3 linked regions of the Xenopus tropicalis genome follow. The protein of the gene in region 2 purifies or fractionates together with the protein of the main gene of each other region. This does not show direct contact. Links are inferred from orthologs where the notes say so. Each region holds a gene or a part of one and is shown on either strand. Other genes may lie near its edges.

What was found. The genes of interacting proteins can lie anywhere in the genome.
Region 1: the proteins of polr2j (region 2) and med19 purify together in Homo sapiens (affinity purification with mass spectrometry; 3 studies listed by BioGRID and IntAct, with this or other methods). This does not show direct contact. The link is inferred for Xenopus tropicalis from reciprocal best matches to the Homo sapiens genes POLR2J and MED19.
Region 3: the proteins of polr2j (region 2) and uri1 purify together in Homo sapiens (affinity purification with mass spectrometry; 4 studies listed by BioGRID and IntAct, with this or other methods). This does not show direct contact. The link is inferred for Xenopus tropicalis from reciprocal best matches to the Homo sapiens genes POLR2J and URI1.

Annotation. Positions count from the first base shown.
Region 1 is NC_030683.2:55,852,958-55,857,114, forward strand, and holds the start of med19 (mediator of RNA polymerase II transcription subunit 19), read left to right. Parts: upstream 1-1,356; 5' UTR 1,357-1,443; coding exon 1,444-1,687; intron 1,688-4,157. Other genes in the region: tmx2 (thioredoxin-related transmembrane protein 2 precursor), read right to left, coding at 900-1,088. UniProt on the Homo sapiens protein: Component of the Mediator complex, a coactivator involved in the regulated transcription of nearly all RNA polymerase II-dependent genes.
Region 2 is NC_030678.2:94,648,878-94,652,375, reverse strand, and holds the end of polr2j (DNA-directed RNA polymerase II subunit RPB11-a), read left to right. Parts: coding exon 1-114; intron 115-2,812; coding exon 2,813-2,848; 3' UTR 2,849-2,992; downstream 2,993-3,498. UniProt on the Homo sapiens protein: Core component of RNA polymerase II (Pol II), a DNA-dependent RNA polymerase which synthesizes mRNA precursors and many functional non-coding RNAs using the four ribonucleoside triphosphates as substrates.
Region 3 is NC_030680.2:71,279,341-71,283,574, reverse strand, and holds the start of uri1 (unconventional prefoldin RPB5 interactor 1), read left to right. Parts: upstream 1-1,433; 5' UTR 1,434-1,577; coding exon 1,578-1,652; intron 1,653-4,234. UniProt on the Homo sapiens protein: Involved in gene transcription regulation. Acts as a transcriptional repressor in concert with the corepressor UXT to regulate androgen receptor (AR) transcription.

The DNA.
Region 1 (4,157 bases), on a different chromosome or scaffold from region 2:
AGCCACTTATACCTTTAATAGTACTGCACTAGGCAAACCATAATGGAAAAGGACCTTGTAAATAAATAAACTTGGCTGTGGCAAGAGTTGTAGGTCCGTTGCAAGGTATGAAGGGGAAAAAAAATGGGAAAAAACAAAACTAAGTCCCAAAAAAGACCCCAACACCCCTCGACCCCTGTAGTTTAATAATCTCCTGATCAGAGATTGCAGGTTTGCTCCGGGTAGTAGGGGTCCATTAGGTACTCAATGTGCACGTTCTATTAACAGGAAGGCGAAGAATTGATCCATGCCAAGTGTTTCTATTGTGCATTTGTAAATAAATACAAGATATATATGTCTTTATCTATGACCCTGCAATGAGGTATCAGCCCCTACTTGAAACATAGATTTATTAACCTGCAAACCATACTGCATGGAGATTAACTTATTATTGGTAAAAAAAAAAAAAAAAAAGTGTTTACTAGTGTTATACTAGGCTTTCAAATGTTAGCCATAAACAGTCATCCAGTTAGGGGCTATAACCTCAGCCATTATGCTTGTCCGCCTCTACATCTCAGGGTCCTAATTAAATACATTTTAGAGGACTATACGCAGAGTTCAAAGGATGAAAAACGAAACACTTACGTAAGGTTTTATCAGCTTTTTCGGCCTATCAAACAATTAAGTAGATCAATCATATCTGACCCTTAAATGTACAAACCAAATACATCAAAATTCAGCAATAAATCACTTTTCAATCAGAATGTACGTAAAATACCACTAATAAAAAGCCATCATTCTCAGCATTTCAGGCATGATAATTATAATAGAACAAATCTGAAGAAACATGGAAATTCATGATATAACAGTTTTCGATGCATTAAACCATTCAATGTAAGAGTCACCTTGAAAGTACATACCCAATCAAAGTCGCATGGATTTCCGTCCTCACGCTGTGTTGGTAAGACGCTACACACCGGGGGTACCTTTCTAACCAGAAGAAAAGATACAGACAATAACGCAGAAAGAAGGTAATAGGGCTGCGATACCCAGCGCAAAAGCCCAGGAACTGCATATAAAAACGCGAGAAGGGGTGCAAGCACAGCCATTGCCACAAGTAACGCTGATTATCTGGGAAGGAGACTCATCCAATTACATTAACTATATCGAACTGCTAAAAAGAGTGAGGTCCAACCCAACAAAAAAACAGCCAATAAAGATCAGCACAGTAGGACGTAAATCCGGAAATAGACAACAGCTAATCCAGAAGGAGTAGTGTCAGGCGTTTAACCAATTGATAGCAAGCAAGCACAAACAGCACATGCGATAGGCTGGTATGTGGAAGTGACGTTCATATTCGTCTCTTCAATGACGCTTAAACGTTTAGGAGGGGCTTAACATAAGGTTTAGGTTCATTGGTTGAATAGTAGAAGGGCTGATGTGGTTGGTTTCAGTTGCAAAGTAATGGAGGGATTTTCTGGTCTATTTGCAGCTTCTGAGCCCTCATCTATCCCTTCTGCTCCAGGGCCCCCCTCTGTTGTTCCAACATGTACTGGTGCGTTTGTGTCAGGAAAGACACAGACTTCAACTCCAACAGTACCTGGTCCTCCGCTGCCGATCCCTCCGCCACTTTCTTCTAGTTCTTCTGGAGAGGATAGCTCCCGAAGACCTGCAGCGGGGCCCTTCTATATTCTTGGTGAACTTCCAGGTGAGTGTTAACAAGCATGGGTGCATAGGACCCGTACTAAACGTGTGCTAAATGTCTGCTATGTGGCAAAATCTGAACCGCTGGGCCTTGTCTTGCTGGAGCATCAGGAGAATGGTGTCTGTGGTCTTGCTGACATGTTGTTTTGCCTTCTGATGGCTAAATCCATGTCTGGGCTGGTAAACGCAACACGATTTTACTAAGAATCTTGAATCTTCTTTTTTTTTGTATGTCAGTCTATTTTAAGCATCTACAAGGGATTTACATTTAGTCATTAGAAGAGGAAACATTTTAATTATTAATAGCATTTTTGTAGATACCCTTTTCCAACATCGGACTGGGCTGTGCCAGACCTATTGGGTTGGCACTCAAACTGGCACCCCAGGGAGTGCCAATTGGGGGAGCGCCAGTGCATTGTTTCTGGGTTGGCTGGGTCCACTGGGTTTTTTACCTGCCATTTCATTTGGATCCTGCCCTTTTCTGCTAGCGTTATCCAATGTGATTCAAAAACCATCTCAAAGAGTTGCTTATTACTACACCTTTTGTGTGGTAAACTTATTATTATTTGTCTTTCTTTTTCTAAATATGTGTATTTGGTGTCAAATATGATGACTTGAACTTACATTAAGTGCTTAAATTAAAGTGGAAAAAAGTGGAGCCAGACCCAGCTTCCTTCCTCTATTTCAGGGGTAGGGAACCTATGGCTCGGGAGCCAGATGTGGCTCTTTTGATGGCTGCATCTGGCTCGCTGCCAAATCTTTAATAAAAAAAATAATGGGGGGCGTGGACTGTGCTCGGTGGATAGAAGACGTGTTCTAAACCTTAGAACACGTCTTCTATCCACCGAGCGCAGGCCACGCCCTCCTCTGCATCGGATCCGCATCAGGCATCCTTGGGACCCACCTTACCTTGACCCACAGGATCCGCGGCCAAACATATTGTATGGCTCTCACAGAATTACATTTTAAAATATGTGGTGTTTATGGCTCTCTCAGCCAAAAAGGTTCCCGACCCCTGCTCTATTTAGAGACCCGTGCCTGCCCCACAATGATGTCACAAAAGAGGCAGGCCTTCTGGGAGCGCGCCTATAAATAGAGAAGCCTGAAGAGAGCTGCTGGCAGTGTAAGGTTGCGAGCGGAAAAGCTCGGCCCGAACCCGCAGATTATGTGCCTAGGTCAGCTTGAACCCGGCTGACCCGCAGGTATTGGGCCGGCCCATACATCACTACTGCCCAGAATTATAAGCCACACCCACTGTTATAATACACTTTGACCGCAAACAAACTCTGGTTTTATTGCCTGCTAATACACAAAGCAATAACTAAATGCAGTGCTTCCTTCATGGGACCTGTTATCCAGAATGCTTGAGACCTGGTGTTGTCTGGATAAGGGATCTTTTTGTAATTTGGATCTCCATAACTTAAGTCTGCTAAAAATCCTTTAATATTGAATAAACCCAATAGGATTGTTTTGCCTCCAATAAGGATTAATTCTAACTTAGTTGGGATCAAGTACAAGTACTGTTTTATTATTACAGAGAAAAAGGAAATAATTTAAAAACAAATTGCTTATAATGGAGTCTATGGGAGATGGCCTTTATGTAATTGGAAATTTCCGGATAAGGAATCCCCTACCTGTATATAAGTGCAATACCAAGTTCATGTATAATGCCCCCCATAACACTTAAAAGAGAACTGTCATGAGCTATAAACCCTTCCATCTTTCTCACTGTTATAATTCAAATAAATACAAAATCACCTGTACCAAACTGCATTAATTTTTAATGTAAAACACTTATTTCTCATTTCTAATTGTTTTTCAAACCAGGCATTTTCAGAATCTGAAAGTAGGTGTGTCTCTTCTGTAGCACTTGTCATCCCAGCGTTCATTTAGGCCAGGGGTTGCCAATATGTCGATTGCGGTCCACCGGTCGATCCCCCCTGGATTTCTGGTGGACTGCGACAAAGCCAGAGATGCGGAAGTGCTGCGTGAATGCGTATGTACGCACTTACGCATTCCCCAGTCAAAAAGTCTGGCCACCCCTGATTTAGGCCTTTCCACATATCCTGAATCTTAGGTCCCCTCACCTTCATCATCTCTGTGCACCACAGTTAAGTTTCTGTTGTTTGCAGAGAGGTATGCATTGTAGTAGCTGTAGGCTGTAAATTATAAGGCCAAGAAAGGAATACTGTGACAGTAAACGCACAAGAATAAAGGAAGCGTTTTGTGAATCTTGAGCAGGGGTCCCCAACCTTTCTTAAGGTAGCTGCCGATATCGGTCCCTTGGAGCGATTCGGCAGCTAATCGGGCCATGTATGGGCACTCCCAATGGGCCTGCCCGGCCGATATCTGGCCTGAAATCGGGCAGATCTCGATCGGGCAGGTTAGAAAATCTAGTTGGATCGGGGACCGCATTGGCTTGTTGATGCGGTCCCCGGACAGACTTTTCTGCCATTTTAATTCGATCGTTTGGC
Region 2 (3,498 bases):
CATAAAATTATCATAAGAGTTCAGACAACACCAGACTACAGCCCCCAAGAGGCATTTACCAATGCAATCACAGACTTGATAAGTGAGCTGTCCCTTTTAGAGGAAAGATTTCGGGTATGTATAAAATCCATTTTTCCTGTTTATGCTTTCAAAAAACCCCAAATTTTTTCCCAAAATGTTTGAACAAAATGCTAAGCATTTAATTCTGTTACAAGATATATGCATTCAAGTATATAAAAAATGGGGGGAAAAAAAAACAGGTGTGAGTGCAGAGCACAGGAAGGCATAAAAGACTACTGCTTTTAATTTATTTAACAAACAACTTATAGAATATGTAAACCTTAAAAAATGAATGTAAATTGCTCTGGGTCCTTCTAAACACTTTTCCAATTTACAATATTATTTTCCTTTTCCAATTTATTAAAATAATATTGTCATGGGAAAACATGTTTGTTTGTTCTTTTTCTTTCAGAACACATCAGTAGAGCTTCTCCAGCAGAACCCTGCATTGAAATCCGTTTTTCAAAAACAGAAACAGAATTTATTTTTAATTTTGAAATTTCACATGGGGCTAGCCATATTCTGCATTTCCCAGAGTGACACAACCATGTGACCTGTGCTCTGATAAACTTCCGTCACACTTTACTGCTGAGCTGCAAGTTGGAGTGATATCACCCCCCTCCCAGCAGCCGATCAGCAGAACAATGGGAAGTTAGCAAGATAGCAGCTCCCAGTAGATATCAGAATAGCACTCAATAGTAAGAAATCAGAGTCCTGCTAGGAATCCTCCAGTTACATGGTAGTAGGAGAAACAATATACAGTATCTGAAAGCAGTTCTAAGGGCTGTGACACACAGGGAGATTAGTCCTGCCGGTGGGATGGCATTGCGGGGAGATTAGTCGCCCGTGACAACGGAGATTTGTTGCGGCGGGACTAATCTCCCCGTGTGTCACGGCCCGAACTGCTTTCAGATGTATTGTTTCTTCTACTCCCATGTAACACAGAGCTACTAGCAGCAGCAACTTCTTAATGGCTACTAGGCTCCAAAAAATACCCTGCCATAGGCAATACTGAGAATTGCCTCAGCTAAAACACACGAAGAGACAGTTATCAGTTAATGATCAGCTGCAACTAGTAGCTCCGTGTGTCTTCACCCAAATGTGTAGCGCTGGCTCCTTCTGGAAGCTCACACCCAGGCACAATGCATTGAAATGGCTGCCTACCCACCAATATTACAGCTAAAAAAATACTTTTGATGATTCAAGAATGGCAGAGTGAATTATTTGCTATGTAAACAGTGTAATTTAGCAATAAAAAGTAAACCATAAAAATCATGACAGAATCCCTTTAAGCTGTTTTTAAACTGCTATTATTCATTTTGCAACACATTTTCACTTACTAGTCAGTTTTCAGAAGAAAAACAGTGAACTCTTCTGATATTGCTCTGCTCAGGAAAGGGATAGGAATAGCTTTCTCACCCCTTTCCTAAACAGAGCAACATCAAAACAGTTTTCAGTTTCCTTCTGAAATTTTACACAACTGTAAAGTAATGTAAGATTAATGTAAATTGCAAAAGGGCTTAATAGACTGAATGCAACTGATTTTGATATCCTATTTATTTTGATTATACCCAAGTATACATAGGGGTCAGACTGCTTTCTGACCAGGCCCGGACTAGCAATCTGTAGATTCTGGCAAATGCCAGAGAGGCTGCTGTAAGATGCCATAGACAGTCACTATTTATTGGGCTGGTGGGGGCTGTTTAGGCATCTGTGTACTTGAAATGCCTGGGCCTATTTTAAATCCCAGATCATACCTGTTTTTGACTACATTTAAATTTCAAGTTAGGAGAATGCAGAACAGAAGGCCAACCTACTAAAACACTACAGCAGTAAAGACCCACTGCAACTGTCATAGGATATATATGTCTTTTTATCATGCTTAAAAGTGGATCCTAGAAAAAAATGTCCTCTCTAATAATGGTTAAAGGGGTTGGTCACCTTTAAATTAACTTTTAGAATCTTACAGAATGGTCAATTCTAAACACTTTTTCAATTGGACTTCATTATTCATTCTTTATAGTTTCTTAATTATGTGCTGCCTTCTTGACTATTTCTGGCTTTAAAATGGGGTCACTGACCCAGGCAGACAAGAAACTGTTGCTCTGTGAGGCTACAATTTTATTGTTATTATTACTTTTTATTACTTATCTTTCTATTCACGCCCTCCACTATTTATATTCCAGTCTCTTATTCAAACCACTCCCTGGTTGCTAAGGTAATTTGGACCATATCAACCAGAGAGCTGCTAATATTCCAAACTGGAGAGCTTCTGAACAAAGTGAAATCATTAAAAAAAAACAAATAGAGGAAAAAAAAGACCAATTGCAAATTGTCTTATAATAGTACTCTTTATATCATACTAAAAGTCAACTCAAAGGTGAACAACCCCTTTACGTGTCCGTCCACATCACTTCTTTATTATGTTTTTCTAACATAAATATTGGAAGGTGCTTTGTGGATTAGTTTAGCATGATTAAATTGAGCATATAGTATTCTCAAGGACCTTGGTACACCACACTTAATTTTGTGACAAATGGTCACTGAATATCAATATTCTTATGATTTCATATTAAGTCCCATAATGCTCACACTACCATACAAACTTATTTGCAATGAGGATATATTATTTAAACTACTGGTAAGCACTATATATAATAAAGAATTGTTGCTTCCTGATATATGAATGTAAACCTGAATTCACAAGTAATACTTATATGCTATTATATATAATATTTATATCTGTTTACAGGTGGCTATTAAAGACAAGCAAGAAGGAATTGAATGAGCCAAATCTATGGAAGGAAGAGCTATCCTTTTTGTTCTGACATTTTTGTAGGGAGCAGTCATGTAGAGCCAGCTGGTTATTGTATTTTTTTTGTATGTGTGGATAATATACACTTTTATAAATAAAATTGTTTGACTTATGTAATAACTTTTGTTTGCAGTTTCTTTCCAGAAAAGGTAGGAAAAATCTACTCTTCTCTAGAATCAAATATCCTACTAACCCTTCAAATTAGTAAATGCAGTGGAGACATAGTATTTGCCATTCATGTCCCTTTTTACTGTGTATAATGCAGAAACAGTATGATTAAAACTAGTGCCACCATAATTATTTTTGTTTGGATTGCACTTAATTAATCATTGATGTCCAGGAGCATTTAAAGTGGCCATACACTATACCTCAGCAAATGAGCAGATCGTTACGCCAATATGCACATCTAAGGTGGGCGATATCAGAGTAAACCAATCATTTGGCTTGAGGGGAATAGGATGGGAATAAGAACCTGCCAGATATCAGTCAGGTAGGCCCATCGGGGGTCCCCATACACAGGCAGATAGCTGCCAATCTGGGCTGTAATCTGCCGTGTAAGGCCATCTTTTCAACACTAGATCAATTAAACAGTTGTTACTTTGTATGCAGATGCTATATACACA
Region 3 (4,234 bases), on a different chromosome or scaffold from region 2:
ATTACATGGCAATGCAATATGCCACTTTTGCAACCACAGAGAGCCAGCCTATAGTTTTATTCATTACCTTGAAATAAACTGATGTAGATATCAGTATTCTAAGACAATTTGCTATTAGCCTTTATTTTTTATGCTTTCTGAAATATTTAAATTTTTTGCTTTGCAACTCTCAGGCTCGGAATACTAACTGCTATCTGGTTGCTAGAGGTTATATACCCAAGCAACTAGGCAACAGATTAGAAGACAGAATAGATCAATAATAGTGGACCTAAAAAATTAATAAATTATAAAAATCATAATACAATGAATCTGTTGATCTGTTTTGAGATGCTTGGGGTCAAAAGCGCCATAAAGGCCAAATGATTTTTTGACTGGAAAGATGAAAAATATTGAATGCTAAATATAAAACAAATACACAAAAAATAAGTCTAATTAAAAGGTTACTTAATAGAGGTCCAGCTATAATTTACTAAATGTTAATAACACGAGGAACATCTGAACATCCCAAATAGCATTGGTGATTGGCTCAACGCACTGTAGACTGCAGCTGAGCATGCTAATGATCCAGTAAGAATACAGAGTATGTACTGACATTTACATGTGGGAATGTGGGAGTGAAGTTAACAGTTGCAGACGTGACACACGCAGCAGGTGCTAACACAGTATCACAGTAATACAGTAGCACAGAAACACAGTACGAGAGTAGCACAGTTTAACACAGACAGTAGTACAGTAACACAGTAGCACAGTAACACAGACAGTAGTACAGTATCACAGTATCACAGTAACACAGTAGCACAGTAGCACAGTAGCACAGTATCACAGTAGCACAGAAACACAGTAGCACAGTAGCACAGTATCATCACAGTAGCACAGTATCACAGTAACACAGTATCACAGTATCACAGTAACACAGTATCACAGTAACACAGTAACACAGTAACACAGTAGCACAGTAGCACAGTAGCACAGTAGCACAGTAACACAGTAACACAGTAGCACAGTAGCACAGTAACACAGTAACACAGTATCACAGTATCACAGTAACACAGTAACACAGTAACACAGTATCATCACAGTATCACAGTAACACAGTAACACAGTATCACAGTATCACAGTAACACAGTAACACAGTAACACAGTATCACAGTAACACAGTAGCACAGTAACACAGTAGCACAGTAACACAGTATCACAGTAACACAGTAACACAGTAACACAGTAACACAGTATCACAGTATCACAGTATCACAGTAACACAGTAAAACAGTATCACAGTAACACAGTAACACAGTAACACAGTATCACAGTAACACAGTAAAACAGTATCACAGTAACACAGTAGCAGAGTCAGGCTGATGAAAGCTTTCCTCCTTGGAAACGTACAGTCCCCACGTGCATTTGCTTCCTAGTTACGAGATTTCCCAGGTCTCATGCTCGCGAGAGTTTGAGGTGAATTTCCTTCCGTGCCTGAGTGGCTCATGCGAGTGGGACTCTCAGAGTCGGGGCCCGAGAAGGTGGGACCACGGTCGGTTCCCGAGTTCCGGGGCAAAGGGGTTTGCGACGGACGGAAAGCATGGAAGAGATAAGGGAGGGTACGAAACTGCTGAGCTCCAGTGATGTGGCCAGACTTCAGGAAGAGCATGGAAAGGTAAACAGAGGACGAGTGCCATGTTACACATGTGAATGTGGCAGAGCATAAGCCAGCCAGGGCAGAGCGCTTATGCACTAGGGTACAAGTGCGCCCAGCGGGCTTAGGGCAGCCTGTACCATGGTTAATATAGACAGTATGGGCTTGTTCCCCAGCAAAGAGAAGAGCACACAGTTGGAATAAACCACTTAGCAGCACATCACTCATTTGCTTTTTATCACTGTAACTTTTAGACTAGTCGGAGCCCATTGTTTTGTACAAAATGGACTATATTTGGGCATTATGACACAGGGCCATTATGACACAGGGCTGAGCATTGGCCATCAGGAAGGTAGCACAGGAAACTGAGAAGCAAAACAAATAAAGGAGGATGTATGTTATTGAGCAGGATGTACAGCTACTGAAAGTTATATAAGTTCCACTTGCACCAGAATATGCAGCTTAGTATTACCATTGGCGCTGCCATAAAATCTGAAAATGTTAAGGTGTAAATGCTTAATCCCATAGGGAACACAGTACTCTGTCATGTCTGTGCACATTTGACAGGTACCCTGTTTATAAGTTAGGGTCAGGCAGTGAGACGCTTCCAGCATCTTTTTAACAGGAGGGCTACAGTATGCACAGCCATGATCTAACTCAGCCGGTTGACTTTGCTAAGCATAATGTACCACTGTGACCTTTGAGTTGACTCAAATTCAGTGTTGTGCTCCATAAGAAATAAAAGTTACATTGGGCATAAAATTGACAACAATTCAGTAAATAAAGCTTGTTATCTTATAAAATTGCAGTTGTCTTAAAAGTGGCAGGACTTGCACCTTTTTTGAGCAGTAATGCTGTGCCAGCTATTAATGCAAACACCAGAGTACCTCTTGTAGCAGGAACAGTCTAAATGTCATAGGCAGTGCTATTGGTATGGCATGAGGCATGTAAATACCTTCTGTTCTCAGAAGGCCTCACACTTCATGTCTTGCAATGTAAAGGACAATTTGGCTCCTTTTACCTCTTCTCATCCTAACCAGGTCAGTTCCTCTGCTTAGCAGTTCACTTACTAGTATTACTGGAATCGTAGTTGAGAGCAAAGAGGCAATAATATAGTTATCTTGGACTCTACAGTGTTCATTGAAGCTGTGTAAGGGTGAAGACACATGGAGCTACTTAGTAGCAGCTACTTGTAATGGCTACTAAACTCCAGAAAATACCATACCATAGATAATACTGAGAATTGCCTCTTCTAACACACACGTAGAGACAATTATCAGTAAATGATCAGCACTGTCTATTTTTGTAGCTGCTACTAATAGCTCCTTGTATCTTCACCCGTATTGTTATCCCTTTAATAATCCATGCTGAAAGCTTGTACCTGAATCCTTTGCCTACAATTAGAAAACTGAAGAGCTAGCCTAGGAAGGATGTGAGCATAGTGTTCCTAATGGAAGGAGTGAGCAAGTTTTGCATATTTTTAACATATTGTAAATTTGGTGGGCTGTAAGCACAATGACTGAGCATATTTTGTACTGGTGCACATGCAGTGCAGCAAGACAAAAGGGTTAATTTGCAAAGAATTATAAGCTTATATAATGCTGAATATGACATTCTTCCAAGCTTCTGATTAGAAGCTAAGAGCTTTAAATCTCTAAGTACAAAGTATAGACTGAGGTATTTTAAGAAGGAGTTTTGGATGATTCCGATTCTCAAGTCTTCTTACCCTCTGGTAACACAAGAACACAGGCTGGGGTTTATTTACTGACATAGGGCAAGTGTGCATTGGTTCAGTAAAACGTTGCTGTTGATCAGTTCGCTCATTGAATCAGTTTACTGGATGTAGAATACCAAAGCCCTTATTTGGGTTCCTATGGGCTAACATATTGGTATAACTAGTAATTTTTGCTTGTATTGCATCATCTGTAGAGTTAGGGCTAATAATCCTATTACGATATTACAAAGCAGAATTAGAAATTTTCTGATTTCTCACTGTGTATCACACTGTGCACTGTTGCACAGACTTTTTTTGTTTTTAGTGCATTTGTCACTGTATGTGTATCGAATAAGTCATTTATGTAGTTATGACAAATGTCAAATGGCACATATATGTTTTTGCCTTTAAAATTTATGCCCACTTTTTCTGTACATGCATTTGTCTTCTGGTACAGTATTATGTGTCCCATTGCCCATCAATATAGTTATCTAATTTTGCCCTAAAAGCATGGACCCACAGGAGTGGAGACAAATGCATAATCTAGAAAGAAATCCAGAATACATGTAAAAAGTAATTTGTAGTGAGCCTTAAAGGAGGACTAAAGGAATATTGTCATGTTTTTTTTTTTTCTCCCAAAAAACACATCCATTAATAGAGCTTCTCCAGCAGAATCCTGCACAGAAATCCACATTTGTGCTGCACAGAAATGTAGGTCATAGTAGCTGATTAATAACCATTTCTCAATGCAGAACACATTGGTTTCTATAGTGACATTTATTGTGAATATAATTAATTACAAATATGCTTTATATTAACAAACTAGAATTCACAATATACTGTGCATTGTGAATCAGTCCCTAAGCAAAAGGTGACTGACAGCAGCCCT